Cricetulus griseus: one gene and its partners. The protein of the gene in region 3 purifies or fractionates together with the protein of the main gene of each other region. This does not show direct contact. Links are inferred from orthologs where the notes say so. Each region holds a gene or a part of one and is shown on either strand. Other genes may lie near its edges.

Region 1 (6,139 bases), on a different chromosome or scaffold from region 3:
GGCTGGCCTTGAATTCAAAATCCTCTTGCATCTCCAGTGCTGGGATTCCAAGTGTGTGCTACACCTCCAACTGGCCTGTGGTATTTCAGAGGAAGTGAAGTGGGGAGGTAACTGAAAAGGTGTGCTCCAAACATCTTTGCTTGCTTAATCATCTCGTTTTTTATTTTGTTTTTGTTAAGTAGGGCATAATAATTTTATGAGTTTTTTTTTTTTAAGATTTGTTTATTTACTATGTATACAGTGTTCTGCCTGCATTTATGAAGGCACACCAGAAGAGGGCACCAGATTTCATTACAGATGGTTGTGAGCCACCATGTGGTTGCTGGGAATTGAACTCAGGACCTCTGGAAGAGCAGTCACTGCTCTTAACCTCTGAGTCATCTCTCCAACCCCATTTTATGAGTTTTAAAAAGTAGTATCATAATCAGAGTATTTTTGCCCATAAAAAATGGTCTCTTTACATCCTGCATCCAGTTTTTCACTCGACATAAAGATTTTTGGAGTTGCCAGGGTGTGGTGGTGCACACCTTTGATACCATCACTTGAGAGGCAGGAGCAGGTGGATCTCTGAGTTTGAGGCTAGCCTGGTCTAAAAAGTGAGTTCCAGGATATCCAAGACTACCCAGAGAAACCCTGTCTTGAAAAACCCTAGGAGTCACACAAGTTACTGTGTATGTGCACAGTTATCTGCCTTTAAAAAAATAACCTGAGACAGTTGGATATAGTGGTGCACATCTTTAATCCCAGAGCTCCAGAAGCAGAGGTAGGTGGATCTCTGTGAGTTAGAGGCCAGCCTGGTCTACATAGTGAGTTCCAGAATAGCCAGAGCTACAATATAAGACCCTGCCCTGAAACACACACACACACACACACACACACACACACACACACACACCACCCACCCACCCACCCACCTGTGGAGTAGAGAGATGGCTCATCAGTTAAACGGCTCACAACCTGTAACTTCATCTCTGGGGATCCTATGCCCTCTTCTGGACCCCACAGGCAACTGTATTCATATGTAAATATACACAACTAAAAATACAAATAAAAACAGGTCAGTGGATGGCTCAGTAGAAAAAGGCAATTGCCACCAAGCCTGACAATTTGAGTTATATGCCTAGAATCCACATACAGGTGGAGAGAACAGACTCCAATAGGCTGTCCTCTGATCTCAGTATGCACAACTAGGCGCGCATACCCCTATATACAAAATAGCTTCCTTAGGGGCAGGCCTGAAACTAGACAAATTACACAGCCACAGGAGGGAAGGTGGGAGAAGGTAGGAAGGCCAGGAGGCCTGCATGAAGTCACACCAGCACAAACTGAAGGTGCAGGCTTGTATCTGAAATGTATCAGTGGGGTCGTTTCAGATCCAAGCCCTGTCACCTTTGAGCTATGTGTTCTTCAGAGAACTGCTAAGCCAATCTGATGCCACTTTCTCCTTTGCAAAGAGGAGGGTGGGATTGATACCTATTCCACAAGAAACAGGCCAAACTCCTGGCATAGTTCTAGAAATGATTTCTGCCTTTCAACACTGGCAGCATTTTTAGGACTTGGGTTATTCTGACTGGCAGATGGGCATTCTAAGCTTTGCCAGACCCAGGAGCAAAGAGAGGCACAGCTGTAAAAAGCAGCTTTGCCCTCCTGGAGTCCACAGTCCAGATGAAGAAATAAGGCATGCTATTAACAGTTAACCCATCACAATTAAACTCTTGCAAGCAGAACTGCAGTCCTGGGGTGCAGACCACACACAGGAGGTTCAGAACCTGAACCAACAAGCCCACAGAAATACAGCAAGCTCATTATGGGTTCTCAGGAATACAAATCCAACACAAAAACCTTCCCACAGGGAGGATGCCTCTCTTGCTCTTACGTCCCTGGAGAAGGTGGGCAAAGGCCTCTCCTGAAATGCTAACACCAGCCTGTGAAACCAGCTTTTCTATAGTTCATTCTAGGAAGCCCAGCCTGGGCCTTAGAACTCATTCCTAGTGGTGGGGCTCTTACAACTTTACTGCTGCCTCAGCAACATGGAAAGAGGCTGATAAAGAAAACAAGGTCCCTGAGAATCATTAACTGGCAAACCTATCGGGAGGCTCCTTCCTGATGCACCCCTTCTCAGCAGCCATGGATTTCCTGTAGCTCTTCAATTAGAGGTGGGGCCTTGGGAAACTTCCCCCCAATTCATGTTAGCATGTGAACTGGTATTGGCATTATGCATCCAATCCCATGTTGTCAACACTGAACATATGTATGTATAAGCAACACTAAATGGTCAAGAGATTGTGTATGTGTGTATATATATATAGCAATGATAAAGTAATGAATTTGAGAGGGGGCAGGGGAGCATGCAGGAGAGGGATAGAAATGTGTAAATATTGTACTCACATATGAGGGCTGGGATTGCAAAATGGTGGAGTGTGTACTGTGTTTGCAGGCACAGCAGGCACTTATGATGAGGGAGATCAAGTAAAGTCAAGAAAAGGAACTAATATTTCTTTTTTTTTTTTTTTTTTTTTTTTTGCTTTTCGAGACAGGGTTTCTCTGTGGCTTTGGAGGCTATCCTGGAACTAGCTCTTGTAAGACCAGGCTGGTCACAGAGATCCGCCTGCCTCTGCCTCCCAAGTGCTGGGATTAAAGGCGTGCGCCACCAACGCCCGGCTGGAACTAATATTTCTATATGCCAACCATGTCTGTGGCAGGGCCAGGGATGGCAGCACACATCTTTAATCCCTGAGCATGGGGGGCTGAGACAGGGGTTATCTCTGAGTTCCAGGAGCGAAAGTGCAACCAGGGCTGCTTAAGAGACCCCGTCCAAAAACAAAACAAAAACAACAAGACTGGTGATATGTCTTAGCAGTTTGGAGAGGAGCAGGGGTGAGTTCCCAGCACTCACATCAAGTCTCATAACCACCTGTAACTCCAGTTCCAGGGAATAAAGCTCCCCCTTCTGATCTCCATGGATACCAGACAGGCCCACGGTGCCCCTACGTACATTCAAGCAAACACTCGTACACACAAATTAAAAAAAAAAAATCTTAAAAAATAAAAAGTGCCCTGGAAAAGTTTTAAGAAATGGGGGCCGATGGAGAGACTCGGTTTTCAAACCTTTAAGGAGAGTCCCCACCTTTAAAAGGTTCTGTCCAGGAGTACAGCGCGTCCGGGATTTGTAAGTCTCCAGTCCCTTGAGAAAGCAGAGGCCGTCTCTCTGGCCTTTCTTTCTAAATGCTCCCACTGAGGAGGCACACCCGCAGAGTGCAGCTCCCCAGGACACAGGGCGTGTGGGGAGCCCTGTGACGGCCACCACAGTAGCAGAGACAGAAGCAGCTCCGGGCTCTGCTTATGTCATCCCACGTCAACGGCCGGGGACCGGTGCCGCTACACACCCTGGGATAAACCCGCTTTCGGGAACCGGGTCTTGCCTGCAGGCTTCCACAGACCGGGGTCCGCATCTTCCGAGGGCTGGGTCGCTTCTGCCATCTCTCCTTTCCCGGGAGGGCCAGGGGCACTGCGTTCCCTCTTCACCGACCCAGATCAGCCCACCCTGGAGGTGCGACCTGGCTTCCCGGGGCCGGCCCGGCCCCACCCACCGCAGGCCGCCCTTAGTCCAAACCTCTGGGTTCGAAGCTGGCTTGCGACAACCGGGCGCCTGCCACGTGACCTTGAACATGCCCTCCCTGCCCTCCGTCTTCCCGCTGACCTTTCCCAACCTCCGCCCGGCCGCGACTCGGCGGCTGTGGCGAAGCGCGGGGGGCCGTGTGACAGGACGCTCCGGGGCAGCGCGCAGGTGGCACGTCCTCCCCCGAGGCCTGGACCCGGGCTCCCGCCGCCTCTCCGTGGCCTGCCCACCCCAGGCAGCCTCGGGGACGGGCACGGCGCCCCCTGAGCCACGGCCCCGCGCCTCACCTGCAGGCGGGCTCTGCCGAGAGCCGTTGCCGGGAAGCAGCGCCTCAAGGAGACACCAACCGCCACCGCCGCCGCCGCCGCCATCTTGGCTCCCAACGTCAGCCCCGCCCCTTACCCTCCGGCATCCCGTCGAACACCGCGGTGGAAGCCGGCCTCTCACCCCGAGGCCCGCTAGCCGCCTGAGAGCCAACGAATGGGAGGCGGCTTCCGGTTTCCCGAGCGAGCCAATGGGAAGCGCGCGTGCGCAATGGCGGCCAGCAGGGCGCATGCCCACTGGGCCTCCCTTGGTCCTAGGGTGACCTCTGCAGTCTGATGGGCGGGAGAAAGGGTGGCTGGCAAGGGGCGGAGCAAAGACGAGGAGGGGCGGAGCCTTCCCGTTTTGCTCTGGGTCGGGATTTTAATCCCTCTCCGCTTGCCAGGATGCCTGTCAATCATGTCTGACTCTTGACTGATCAGCTCTTTTGCTGAATACAGAGAACCCCTCAGCGCCTAGCTGATTGGGGCAGTTGGTGAGTGATTGAGGCGATCACAAGGATGACTGACAAAGGTGTCACTCACGCATTTATCCATAAATATGTACATAACCCGCAGGGCTGGAATCCTAGAAATTGGCACGCGGAGGCAGGAGGAGGATCTTTGGCTGCGTAATGAGGTGGAGGGCAGTCTGGGATACACGAAACCGTGCCTCAAAACACGCAAAACCAAAACGAAAGCAATCTGTGGCTGGGCCCAGGCTCTGCGATGCCGGGGTGAGTGACCCAGACACTCACATAATTCCTCTATAACAGTGGAGATGGGAAAGTGGGGGAAGTAACAGTAGGAAAGATGGGTGACGTCGCCTAGGGTGTCCACTAAGGAGAATGACCTTGAACTTCAGCTCTTGCTGCTGGAGTTACAGGTGTGTGCCACCATGCCCGGGTGTGCGTGTTAGACAATCACTCTGCCAACTGAGCTGTATCCACAGAGTGTGTTTTGTAAGTTTCCTTTAACGTCTGGACTGTTTTTTCTAGCACCTTGTTTACATTCTTTCAGTCTCTCTGACTTGGGATTTGACTACATTAGGCAGGTGTGATCTTGGTGTCCCAAGTCATTTGATCTCTTCGGACACCCAGTGACTTTGCTGGTCACCTGTTTCCAGAAGGAATGATTTCATTTCTCTCCTCTCACTTTTGGCAAAGGAAGATCACTGTTTACAGTCTTTGGTTTCCTCACTCCAACTCATTTAGATGCCACTGGAGAAATTAAGATGACAGAGGGAATGGCTAGATGGGGCCACGTTTCTGAGACCTGAACCTGAAGCTGGCTTCTCTGCCAGGTGGCCTCTCCAGAAGGTCACCTCAACTGCTCCCCTTCAGGCCATGTGACCTTGGACAAGTCCTTCTTCACCTCTGACTTATAGTGTCCTGGTCTGAATCCGCAGGGGGGTTGGGACAGCTGATTTAAGATTCTGCAATTGACATGGCTTGTCTTGTGCAACAGATGACAAGGTGGAGGTCACCTTGACTTTGCAGGGAGCTGGCTCAGCACTGGGATAGGCCCCTCCAGTCTACCCCAGCCGACCAAATTGAGTGCTCCTGCCTCTGCCTCTTGTAGGCAGACCTCCAACTTGTAGGAGGTTGTAGGAAGACCTTCGTTTTCTTTGCAATTCCTCCAGAGAGTCAATAGGTATTATTTCCAGAGACCTGACACCTTAGCCATTTCCAGCCATCATGTCAAAGACAGACACCACCCCCACAGGAGTGGCTAGCCTTTAACTTTTCCCAGGTCACCTTGGAAAAAGCAGGCTGTGGCCAGCAAAAGTGAGACCTTGATTTATGGAGGGGCTCTCGGTGCCAGTGTGCCCACAAACTCTGCAGTCATGTCATTCCTGGGCTTCATGGGGATTTGGGAAGCTCAGTGTTATGGAGAGATAATAAATTCCTGGGCGGCTCTACCTCCGCACTGAGCTTCGGGCTTCCACAAAGGCACAGATGTCATAGGACTTAAAGGTTTTCATGGTCTACTACTGACTTATGTTCCCGAGGTGTCCTTGCTATAAGACCAGGCTTTGGGGTGGGTTGGTTGCCATCCATGTAGAGAGCGATTGATATATTGCTTTTCATCAGACATTGTGATGGGTGTTCTGTATTTATACAGAACCTCACCTCATCCCTTGCAAATGTGTTTACATCAACAGTCTACTCTGGTTCTCCCGACAACCCAGTGGAGTGCGAATGACTGCCCCTGTTCACAG
Region 2 (6,208 bases), on a different chromosome or scaffold from region 3:
TTTTCCACATACTCTCCAGCATAAACTGTTGTTGGTGTTTTTGATTTTAACCATTCTGACAGGTATAAGATGGTATCTCAGAGTTGTTTTAATTTGCATTTCCCTGATGGCTAAGGATGTTCAGGAATTTCTTAAGTGTCTTTCAGTCATTTTAGATTCCTCTATTGTGAATTCTCTATTTAATTCTAAACTCCACTTTTTAATTGGATTATTTGGTGTTTTGGTGACTAGCTTTTTGAGTTCTTTGTATATTTTGGAAATCAGCCCTCTGTCAGATGTGGGTTTGGTGAAGATCTTTTCCCATTCTGTGGGCTGCTGTATTGTCTTGTTGACTGTGTCCTTTGCCAGAGCGTGCCAGGGGCAGAAAGGAAGCTAGGCCAGAGAGAGAGGCTCCTGTGTGCTTGCAGCCCCTTAAAAACCTATCCTGAGTCATCCTTACCTCACCTTGACCATGCCCTGATAGGCATAGTCAGGCACACCTGTAGCCAGCCCTTAGGAGGTGTGGTTACGGTGTCTCCCTACATATGGGTGTCTGTTTCTGCTTCGAACAGCAACTGGATGAAGACTCTCCTTGCTCTCCCTGTCCCTGGGCTCCAATTTGGTCAGGGGTTCTTGTCCCCATGTCCTTCTTAGAGGGACTATGCAATCTTCTGTTGTGGTCCTCCTTGTTTCCTAGCTCCTCTGGCAGTGTGGAATGTAGGCTAGTGATCCTTTGCTCTATTTCTAAAATCAAAAATGAGTGAGTACATACCATGTTTATCATTTTGTGATTGGGTTACCTCACTGAGGATGGTTTCTTTAGTTCCATCCATTTGCCTGCGATTTTCAAGATTCCATTGCTTTTTCCACTGAGTAGTACTCCATTGTGTAAATACACCACATTTTCTCTATCCATTCTTCAGTTGAGGGGTATCTAGGTTGTTTCCAGGTTCTGGCTATTACAAATAATGCTGCTATGAACATAGTTGAACATATGCCCTTATTGTATGAGTGTGTATTCTTTGTGTATATGCCTAAGAGAGGGATTGCTGGATCTTGAGGTAGACTGATTCCCATTTTCCTGAGAAACCGCCATACTGATTTCCAAAGTGGTTGTACAACTTTGCACTCCCACCAGTAATGGAGTAGAGTTCCTCTTTCTCCACATCCTCTCCAGCATAGATTGTCATTGGTTTTAATTGATTTTAGCCATTCTGAAAGGAGTAAGATGGTATCTCAGAATGGTTTTAAGTTGCACTTCCCTGATGGCTAAGGATGTTGAACACTTTCTCAAGTGTCTTTCAGCCATATTGGATTCCTCTGTTGAGAATTCTCTATTTAGTTCTGCACTCCATCTTTTAATTGCATTGTTTAGAGTTTTGGTGCCTAGCTTCTTGAGTTCATTGTATATTTTGGTGATCAGCCCTCTGTCAGATGTGGGATTGGTGAAGATATTTTATTAACACGTGCCTCTAAGACATGCCTAAAATCCTCCTTCACTTTCACGAGAGAGACAGGGTGGTGCCTTTCTACTGTCTCCATAGTTGAGAAGTAGAGGAAGGGTCAGGAGCTTTACATGAATTTTTGGCTAATGGAAGGTATTTGAAACCTGATCTCAAAAGCCAAAAGGAAAACAACAAACCACTACCACGTAAAACAAACCACCCACTTCGCCTGCCCCACGTGGCCTGTGGGCAGCATTGGTTCTAATTCCTTCCTTGGGAACAATCCTTTGTCCAAGAGGTGTCCTTTATAATGGCATCAGTTGCTAGGCTCAGACCTAGCAGCCCTCACTGCAGTCAACAATCCTCTAATCTGTGGTTCCTGGGGCCAGTTTAAGCCAGTGTCGTCCCTGGGGCTGAGATCCGTTTTTGTTTGGAAGCCAAGCAAGAAATTGTGAGGTCTGGGAAGCCACAAGGCGTCGAGTGTGGTGGTGCTGGTGGTGGGCGAAGGGGTGGTGGTGGGAGCGAGTGGGTGAGTCCCCTACCCTCCTGCCACTCCCATCCCTTCCCTTTCCCAATTCACCCTGCTCCCTTCAGCCTCCCCGTGCTCCTCCCATCCCGCCCCCTCTTCCGCCCCCTCCCTCCCCTACCGCCCCGCCCCTCCTCGGCTCGCCCCGCCCGTGGCCTCGGTCAGGGGCCGGCTCCCTCCCCGCCCCGCCCGCCCCCTCCCCCCCTTGCGGCCTCTCCACAGGTTCCTGGTTAAGATGGCGTCCCCCGTGGCCATCGCGGCGCAGGCCGGGAAGCTTCTGCGAGAGCAAGCGCTGCGGCCGCGGCTCCTGGCGGTCAGGTCCCAGGTGAGCGCGGCTGCGACGACGCAAGCCACCCGCTGTGGCGCCCCTGCTCGGCGGCGGCTTCTTGGTCCCCAGAGACCCCTCGCGCGACCCCCGTGCTGCCCCGCGGCGTGGCTGGCAGAGCGGCGTCCCTGGTGTAGCAGCGGGACCCGGGCCACCTCCCACGGGAGGTCGCGGGGGTGGCGGGGTCGCAGTCACACACACACCACGGTCTGGGTCGTTTCACACCCCCCCCACCCCCCCAGCTGGCACTGGAGCCCGGCGCTGGCCCCGGTGGAGGTGGCGAAAGTTGCTCGCACTGTTGGAATCCAGAGCTTTCCCAGTCTTTCCTGGAGCGGCTTTGGGGGCGTCCGTCTGCCGGAGCTCGCCAGGCCGGCCACGTGCTCCACATGCCAGAAAACCGGCGGCTCTCAAGGCTGCTCACCTGCCAGGGTGAACTCTGCAGGTTGTTGCTCGTGCAGCCTCTGCGTGCTTCTCTTCGGGGGCAATGCAGGGGTCCAGGAGCAAAGTGGGAGCCCGCTCCTCTTCCTTCTCCTATGAATGGCCTGTGTCAAAATTCCTCCGTCCCTACCCACTTTGTCCATGCCTCATGGAGACTGAGTTGCTAGTGTTGGACTCGGAACAGCGCCACGGTGCTCACATGTTTAGGTGCTTCTGATGGCAACCTTCAACGTAGCCAGAGGCCTCTTGGGGGAATAGTTGACTTTGACACTTTCTACTTTCTCTAGATTACCCCCTCCCTCAGAAAGAAAAAAAGAGAACTTCTCAGCTCAGTGAGAGGCAAATTATCACATTTTAACTAAGGCACGCATAGGGCACTGAGAAAACTGCAAGAAAAAGTTACTAGTGATTTTTTTTTTTTTTTGAGTTACTCTAAGTAATTTTGACACCCGTGAAGGTTTTTTTTTTTCCTTTCTTTTCATTACCTGATGTTCCATTTCTCTGTTATTGTTAATGGGAATTGAAGAGGTGCTAATACTTATTATTGTAATATCCTTAATAGGCACTTGACAGTATGGTGGGTAAGGGACAGGGATGGCGGTTTGTCTAATTAAAATCACTGATACCTGCTATAATAGAGTAAGGAGAGATCTCCAGATGATCTAAGTCCTATTCATTATTTAAGTGTTATAAAAAAAACGAGAACTGTGGTGCTGTTATGGTAGATTTGAATTTATGAGAAACATGGAGCCCAGGGCAGTGAAAAATGAAGACTAGGAAGGCGGTGGTTGTTCATAGAAGCCTAAAACAGAACATTTAGGTGAAGTATGTTGTCATCTTCCCTACCCAAGTAACAAAAACCTTAGAATACTTAGGAGAGACTGGCTGGCAAGCAGACTGGGATGAGAAGACCTGTTACCTACATTGGACAATGTGCTTTTGGTTTATGTACCCATTATTTATAATTCTGGGAACACCAGGCTTAGAAGATGACAGTGGGGCTGGGAGATGGCTCAGGTAGTAAGGACACTGGCTTCCTTGAGTTCATGGTCTCCCCGGTGCCATGTACAAAGCTAAGTGTGGCATTGTGAACTTGTGAACCCAGTACTGGGAGGAAGACACATGTGGGTCCCCAGAGCTTGTTGGCCAGCTAACCTAGCTGAAATGGTGAGGTCCCATTTCAGCGAGTGACCCTGTGGAAGGTGGAGAGTGCTAGAGGAAGACAGGTGATTTCAGGACAGCCTGAGGAGTGCTCCTGTGTACAAAAGTCCAGGGCTGAGCAGTTGAGTGACCTGTTCAAGGTTACAGAGAGTTTGAGGCAGAGCTGAAGGCTGAGTAAAGGTTTACTTCACGTTCCTGGTATACCAGGGGAGAGCCTGGTGAGTGCCCATTTCCCAAGTAAATTAAATTGCAGACCTGTAGAAGCTGCAAGTCACTAGTGCTGGGGACACATTTCTTAAAGGAACATTTTGGAGTTGGTAATGGAAGGAGGTGCACACAGCCCCTGACTTTAAGGATCTATTTTCTTAGTACCTGCTCCATGCCATTCTGATTTGATACAAACTATCTACTTCCTAGATCTTACCTGATGCTACCGTTAAGGATGGTTCATTATTCCCCCCACCAAACTTAGGAATCTTTTCCAAGTATCTCAGAAATCTGTTGGCAACCTCTGCCCAGACCTACTTTATACCAGACTTTGTGGAAAAAAACAAAACAAAACTTGTGGATGGGCCAAGACAAAAGACTGACTTTCTGCTTTTAGAAGCAACTCTTAAGGGGTTTCACAAAAATACCCATAGAATAACACCCCTCCCTGGGGTTAACTTTAGACACATTTTTGATGCTTAATGTCATTGAACTTTCTCCCTCTGTGTCTGTCTGTCTGTCTCTCTTAAACTTCTGCCCTCTACTTCATCGTTTTGACTTTGGGTTAATGTTATATCCTTTATAGGGCTGTATTTGGCCATCTCTACACCATCGGGAGGTCTGCTTCAGGCCCTGGGACCTGGGGCTATAAGTAAAGCAGGCAGATCCCTTGAGCACATGGGCAGGATGGGCAAAAATAGATTCTACAGCAAGAAAGATGTTTTCCAGAACTGACGGAGCCATAATGAAATCAAACAGGGCCACATGATGGGGAATAAATAGCTTCACAGGCAGGTACACCAAAGGCCAGAAAATCTGTTCCATAACATGTTTTTATTTAGGTTTAATTGTTTTCTTTTTTTTGAGACTGGGTCTCATGTGTAGCTGTGGCTGGCCTATGTTGCCTAGGCTTTCCTAGAACTCACAGGGATCCACTTTCATCTGACTTCCAAGGACTGGGAGTAAAGGTCTGAGCTGCCATGACTGGTCTATGCTTAACTTTTTAATTGAAGACACAAACGTAGAGCATACTCTTCTTATTGCTGTAGCAGAATACCCAAAATGGCAGCTTAAGGAAGGCAGGCATTGTTCTGGCTCACAGTTGAACGAGATGATCACAGATGATCCTGGTGGGAAAGGGAAGGCGACAGGCACTTGTGGCAACTGGTCACATGTATCCACAGTCAGGAAGCAGAGGCAGATGAACGCTCTGCTCCTTTCTGTGCAGTTTGGGAGCACAACCCATGGGAGGCTGCCACCTGCATTCAGAGAGGCTCTTTCCTCCTCACTTAATCTAGTGGTAACCTCACAGGTGTGCCCAGAGGTTGGTCTCCTAGGTGATTCCAGACCTGTCAAGGTGACAGTATTGACTGTCAGTGAACTGTTTGGTGAGTTTGTAATCTGTGACAAGCAGCTGGGTCACTACATACAGAACAAGAAAGTAAATTAACAGCAGCTCAAATCCTTTAGTACCTGTATCTAACAAAGGGAGCAGTCTCCTCTTTTACAATACTGATTCATTTTTGTTATGTAAATGACATTACACAGTATGCATACACTATGTACTGCCCTATTATGAGATCCTGAGTTTTTGACACTTGACCTGTGTGATGAAAGGGACTAGCCAGATGAGATGTGATGGGATGGGGGTGTATTAGTCAATACAGACAGCAAGTGCAAACCCTGGTAGATAGATAACTCCCAGCTAGCCCTCCAAATGCATAGATGCCATGAAACATGTTGGGTGGCATAATATAGCAAGGATTGTCCATGATGAATACCCAGGAGCCCATTTGTCTCTTTGTCAAGTCTTAGGGGAAGTGTTTTTTGGTGCTGCTGAATTTTAAATAATTTCCTTCCTTCCTTCCTTCCTCCCTCCCTCCCTCCCTCCCTCCCTCCCTCCCCTCTCCTCCCTCCCTCCCTCCCTCCCTCCCTTCCTTCCTTCTGGGTTTCATGTAGCTCAGGCTGGCCTTAAACTCTTGTAAGCATTTCGACGGCTTAGATGGGATGATAGGGATGGATTCTGGTACTGGGGAGCCAAAGAATACTGAGTGTTACAGCTTGGATGGAAAGGTATTCTGGCACTCCGGAGCCAGGGAATACTACAGGTCACAGTAAGCATAGCAG
Region 3 (6,046 bases):
ATAATTTTTTAAAAAATGAAATATAATAATGAATATCAGTTCTAACAGTTTTGTTCCTCTAGAGAACCCTGAATAATACAAGTATCTTTCAGAAATAGCTCTGGATCAACCGGATATCCACATACAAATTATAAATTTGAACCAGGTATGCCTGGTATGTGTAATCTCAGCTACTCAGTAGGCTGAGACAAGAAGTTCGATGCAAGTTCAAGGCCATGAGGAACTACATAGTGAATTGCAAACCTACCTAGGCTGCAGAATTTCTTGTCTCAAAAATAATGAGTAGCCAGTCGGTGGTGGCACATGCCGTTAATCCCAGCACTCGGAGCCCAGCCTGGTCTACAGAGCGAGTTCCAGGACAGCCAAGACTATACAGAGAAACCCTGTCTCGTAGAGCCTGATAATATATTCGTATAAAGCCAGCACTTGGGAAATAGAAGCAGGAAGATCAAGAGTTCAAAGTCAAGCTCAGCTACATAGTGAGATCAAGGCCAGCCCAGGCTATGAGACCTTTTCTCTGAAAAAAAATGAAAGAAAAAGATAAATTTTGAGGCCAGCCTATGAAATTTCAAAAAATTCTATTTGATAATAAAAATAAGGTAGCTAGGGATGGAACAACAGATGTAGCTCACTCTACCATGCATAAGGCCTAAGTCTGATTCTTTGCACGAGGATCAACCAGGAGGAGAAATAACAGTGAGTACATGGCAGGTAATGGCAGCCCAGGCACTCCACCACAGCCTCCACTTTTTTTTTTTTTTTTAACTTTTTTCTCACCTCTAACCAGTTATAGGGGCCCTGAGATTTCTGTTGCAACAATCTAACCACCACCCCTGTTTCCCTGAACAATACATTATACTATATAACAAAATGCCTTACCCAGATTGGAGAATCCTTCCTGAAGAGACCATAACCTAGCCCAAGGGGCAGGACCAGGCTCCTCAGGTTCTGGGTCCTCAGGAATAGAGCAGAGCTCCTGGGTGGACACTGTCTCTAAAGAGCTCAGTGTCCCAGAGCTGGAATGAGAGGACTGGCTGGAGGATGACACTGTGCCGCTAGAGGAACTGGATGTGCCTTGAGACTGTGAGGAGAGGTCGTGTAACTGAGAGGAAGTGCCTTGTGACTGAGTGAAGCCACCCTGGGACTGTGAACAGGAACCACTGCTGTGGGACTGCTGATTCTTCATATCCGACCTCAAAAACAGAGTCCAACAATGAGGGGAGATTCAAGGAGCGAGGCCTAAAATTCAAGAACGAGGAATGGAAGCTGGAGAGATGATGCAGCAGCAAAGAACAGAACTATTCTTGTAGAACCCAAAAGTTCAGTAAGTTCCCAGCACCCAAGTCTGGAAGCTCAAGATTGCCTGTGACTCCAACTCCAGTGGGTTTGAAGTCCTCTCGTGGCCCCTGAAATCACTTGCGCTCACGTGAGCATACTCCTGCACACGTAACATATAATTAAAAATAAATCTTTACCCAAAGCTAAGTGAAGAATGTGAATATAACTCAATAGTAGACGCAAAGTCCTGGATTCCATGCCGAGTACCACCAAACATACGAAGCGGAGAACGGGTATACTTAGGGACTGGAGAGACATCGCGGCGGTTAAGAAGAGCACGTTGCTTTTTTGAGTTCAGTTCCCAGCACCCACATCCAGGAGCATACAAATGCCAGTAGTTCCAGCTCTTTGGGAATGCACTGCCCTCTGCTGGCCTCCCTGCGCACTGTACAGACTTACACAGACACATGATTTTTAAAAATAAATTTTTTATAAAAGGAACAGGCATATTATGATCACCTCAGAAGGGCAGAATCATTGATGAGTTTTTTTAAAAAAAGTGACCACAGCAAAATTTCAGGATCACGAACAGAATTTATCGGCCAATTACACAGCGCTAGCGTGTAGAGAAGCTGAGAATGGCTGGTTGCTTCCTATCCACTCCTTGCCACCCTACCCCACACACTTCCTTACGTACTCACTCCAGTTCCTGCAGAGCCTAGCAGCGATGTTTGTGGTTCTCAGTAAATATTTGGGAAGAATGAATCGGGGACCTGGCATGATCACTAACATTTATAATACTCGCTATGAAACTACTTCGCTCTCTGGCATTGAAGAGCCCAACTCTGTGCCTTCCCATGTCTCAGCTTGTAAATAACAAGAGAATGTCCCCCTCGAAGAGCAGCTAAAAAACAAGGAAGAGTCGCCTGCGTGCAGAGCTCTCTTGCACACACAGACCAGGCGGAAGCTGCGAAGGGCCCCTTTGCAGAAGACCCTGAGACCCGATTCGAATCCTCAGACAGGCAAGAAAAATTTCCCGCTAAAACTCACCGCGAAAGAACACCTGGAGCCACAAACACCCCAGACCGCCGCAACCAGTGGTGTGGCGCTAAACCTACCCATGCAAACTCCACCCTCAGCCAATCAAAACGCCTTTCTGCTCGGCACGACCAATAAGAAGACCCGAATGTGGCTGCCATGCGTTAGCCTCAAGGCTTGCTGGGAGTTGTAGTTTAGGATGCAGAACGGGACTCGGCATCCTGTTTTACCGAGGCTGATCCCGCCTCCTCGGCTCACTAAACCAATCAGCAACGAGTCACTCTTGCTTCCTTTCCCTCGAGTCCCTCGACCCAGGCCAGACGGGCGGCTGTCCGGATGTGGGGCTGCCGGGCCCGTGCTTTGGTTTGCGTGTGGGAGGTGCGACTAGCTGGGTTCCTGGGAAGGAGACTGCTGAGCAGCAACGCTGCCTCGGGCAAGAGCAATGCGGGCCAGTGCTGGAACTGCGGCAGCGCTGGGGGTGTGGAGAGTGGGGATGGGTTCTTCTGCGAACACTGCCGCGCCTTGCAGCCACCTGACCCGACTCGGGACTACTTCAGCCTCATGAATTGGTACGCGCGGCGCAGAGTTATGGGAGGGCGAGTCGGTCTTGGGGAGCTCGGATGGCCGAGTTAGTTAAATTAGGCAGGCGTTACCCTGGTGCTTACGACTTGGGTCCTCGCCGGCGGGCCTGTAATTTCCAGCCAGCTGGAAGACTGAGGCAGGAGGACCACGGTTCAAGGCCAGTTTAAGCAACTTACCGAGACTCATTCAAAACGAACAAAGCAAAAAAAAAAAAAAAAAAAGTATATAGGTCATTTGTATAATATAGGACCTGCTGAGATTTTAGGAGTTTGCCTGAGAGGAAGAGGAAATCAAGTTACAGACTGGAAAGAAGGTAAGGGTGGAGGCGGGGATGAAAGCGTAAACTTGCAGATGCCTGCAATGTAAGCACTTGGGAAGTGGAAGTGGGAGGTTAAGGAATTCAGGACTAGCCTCTGCTACAAAGGCTTTGTTTTTAAACATCAGCAACAACAAAAGGGAACAGGCTCAAGTTTACAGTATAGGGAGGTTTGAGGGGCGGGCTCCTGGAAAAGGGGATTCCAGAGGCTGAACTCCAGGGAGGAAAAAGGAGCAGAGTTTGTTTTTCAACTTGTAGTTCTGACTCTACCTCCCCAGTGCTAGGATTAAAAGCATCTGGACTAAAGTAGGAGGATCCCCAGTAGGTGCCCAACCACAAAAATAGGGAACATTCTCATCTCAAATAAGTAAATATTTTAAAGGAGACAATAAAAATAAAACAAGTCGTCTGTGTTGATGTATGCCTGTGAGCTCAGAGGGTGAGGCAGGATTACAGATTTGAGGGCAACCCGAGCTATACAATGAGTTTGATGAGAGTCTGGGCTACATGAGGTTAGGTCTCAAAAATCAAAAGCAATTAAGAATAAAACAAACCGCCTGGCACAAGCCAGCACACACCTCCAACCCCAGCACTCGAAGCAGAGGCAGCTGCATCTCGGTGAGTTCCAGGTCAACCTGGTCTGTAAATGGAGTCCCAAGACAGCCAAGGCTACACAAAGAAGCCGTCTTGAAAAAGAATAAAACAAACCAAGTGTGGTGGCATATGTCTGGGATCTCAGTCTTCAGGGATGAAGAAGAAGGGTGACAAGTTGGAGCCCAATATAGGCTAAGCAGTGGGATCCCTGTCTCAAGAAATTTTAATTCAGGCTCAAGATTTGAGAGAGGCCAAGAAATGTTTCACATGGTTTGTTTCCCCTTGCCTTTTCTTCTGGAGATTGGTACGGAAGTGTGAGCAGAGTTAAACTAATAGACTATATTAAAGTAAATGTGGAAGGTCCAGGTGTAGTTGCACACACCTGTGATCCCAGCCAAAAGCAAGAGGATCTTACAGTCTGGGCTACACAGTCACAGTCTAACTCCCCCCTAACAACACCACTCCCCCCAAAAAAAGAAAGAAGTAAAGTAAATGCTAAATCCTCACTTTGGCTCAGTGATACAACACTTCCTTTGCATTAGCAAGGGACCTGGGTTCGAATCCCAGTACCATACTTTTAAAAAGGCTGAATATTAACATTAATGGCTCAGTATGGTAGTCTCTGTAATTCCAGCTACTCAGGAAGCTGAAGAAGGATCAGAAATTTCAGCCAGGGTGGTAGTGCCACAGGCCTTTAATCCCAGCACTCAGGAGTCAGAGGTAGGCAGATCTCTGAGTTCAAGACCAGCCTGGTCTACAAAGTGAGTTCCAGGACAGCCAGGACTGTTACACAGAGAAACCCTGTCTTGAAAAAACATAAATAGCCAGGCGTTGGTGGTGCATGCCTTTAATCCCAGCACTCAGGAGGCAGAGGCAGGCGGATCTTTGTGAGTTTGAGGCCAGCCTGGTCTCCAGAGTGAGTGCCAGGATAGGCTCCAAAGCTACACAGAGAAACCCTGTCTTGAAAAAACAAAAAAAAAAAGAAAGAAAGAAAGAAAGAAAACATAAATTTAAAAAAAATATTTCAGCCCTGAGCAATTTAGCAACACTCAATTCAGCCTTTTTTTTTTTTAATTAAGCTGATATACTGAGTTTATTGTCATATGTCTATAATCCTAGCACTTGAGGGAAGAGGTGGGAAGATCCAGAGTTGTAGGTCATTCTTGGCATATGCCAAGTTTGAGGCCAGCCTGGGGTATACAAGATCTTATCTCATACACACACACTTTTTTCTTTTAATGGCCAAGGCTCTGGGCCTGGTGACCTGTAATCCCCAATGATCAGGGACACTAAAATAGGCTTATTGCAAGTCAAAGCCTGCCTGGACTATAGAGTGACTACAAAGTCAACTTGGGCTCCTTAGTTACGAACCTGTCTCAGAATAAAAAGTAAAAAGGGGCTTGGTCGGGGAAGGAAGTGAGTGGCTTGGTGCTAAAGTTCTTGCCCAGCATGCAGGAGACCCTGGATCCAGTCTTCAGCACAGAAAAAAAAAAAGAAGAAAAAGTAGGAATCAAGGGACAAACAGGTTAAGCAAGTGCTCTAAACTCTTATACACATTTTCATCAGTCACAGTGCTTACAATGGACCACGCTAACCTTATCCCTGAATTTGTCAAGCTGTTAATCTTCCAGTCACTTCAGGGTCTCTGCACTTACATGTTTGTCCACTCCTGTCCCTTTCTGATCTTTGGTCATTCCGGAGTAGCACAATTGAAGTCTCTCAGATGTCATTATGTTCATTACATCTTCCCCAAGAGCAGAATCAGACCGTAGTGATTAATGCTCAATACTTTGCATGAGTAACATCCACTTTCCTTCCAGCCACCGATCCTTCAGGGTTGATGTCATGAAGCTTCAGCACAGGTACCAGCAACTGCAGCGTCTCGTCCACCCAGATTTCTTCAGCCAAAAGTCTCAGGTATTCACTGACCCTCTAATATTCCCCATATATGTGTGGAACTGGGTAGATGGCAGTGTTGATCTGGGAAAGAGTCGGGCTACTAGCTCCACCCTGTGGCAGCCTGCCCCTAGACAGCCAGGCCCCAGAGATGTCATTTCCTCACAGTTTTTATCTGACTTCCCAGATAAAACTGAAAACGCATCCGTTGAAAACTACAAACTACTTATCCAACAGCAGTTGTAATTTTGCCCATGACTCTAAATCCCTGCCCATCACTGTACTATAAAAGTTTGGGAATCAAAGAGGACTGGCTCTTGTGGTAATAAACTGTTTTTATCT

Evidence for each region.
Region 1: the proteins of Hscb (region 3) and Sdhb purify together in Homo sapiens (co-immunoprecipitation; 3 studies listed by BioGRID and IntAct, with this or other methods). This does not show direct contact. The link is inferred for Cricetulus griseus from reciprocal best matches to the Homo sapiens genes HSCB and SDHB.
Region 2: the proteins of Hscb (region 3) and Suclg2 purify together in Homo sapiens (affinity purification with mass spectrometry; 3 studies listed by BioGRID and IntAct, with this or other methods). This does not show direct contact. The link is inferred for Cricetulus griseus from reciprocal best matches to the Homo sapiens genes HSCB and SUCLG2.

Annotation. Positions count from the first base shown.
Region 1 is NC_048595.1:12,290,342-12,296,480, forward strand, and holds the start of Sdhb (succinate dehydrogenase [ubiquinone] iron-sulfur subunit, mitochondrial), read right to left. Parts: upstream 4,064-6,139; 5' UTR 3,991-4,063; coding exon 3,907-3,990; intron 1-3,906. UniProt on the Homo sapiens protein: Iron-sulfur protein (IP) subunit of the succinate dehydrogenase complex (mitochondrial respiratory chain complex II), responsible for transferring electrons from succinate to ubiquinone (coenzyme Q).
Region 2 is NC_048601.1:48,112,647-48,118,854, forward strand, and holds the start of Suclg2 (succinate--CoA ligase [GDP-forming] subunit beta, mitochondrial), read left to right. Parts: upstream 1-2,145; 5' UTR 2,146-2,185; coding exon 2,186-2,275; intron 2,276-6,208. UniProt on the Homo sapiens protein: GTP-specific succinyl-CoA synthetase functions in the citric acid cycle (TCA), coupling the hydrolysis of succinyl-CoA to the synthesis of GTP and thus represents the only step of substrate-level phosphorylation in the TCA.
Region 3 is NC_048597.1:90,619,081-90,625,126, reverse strand, and holds the start of Hscb (iron-sulfur cluster co-chaperone protein HscB), read left to right. Parts: upstream 1-2,601; 5' UTR 2,602-2,652; coding exon 2,653-2,885; intron 2,886-5,628; coding exon 5,629-5,725; intron 5,726-6,046. Other genes in the region: Chek2 (serine/threonine-protein kinase Chk2), read right to left, coding at 880-1,186.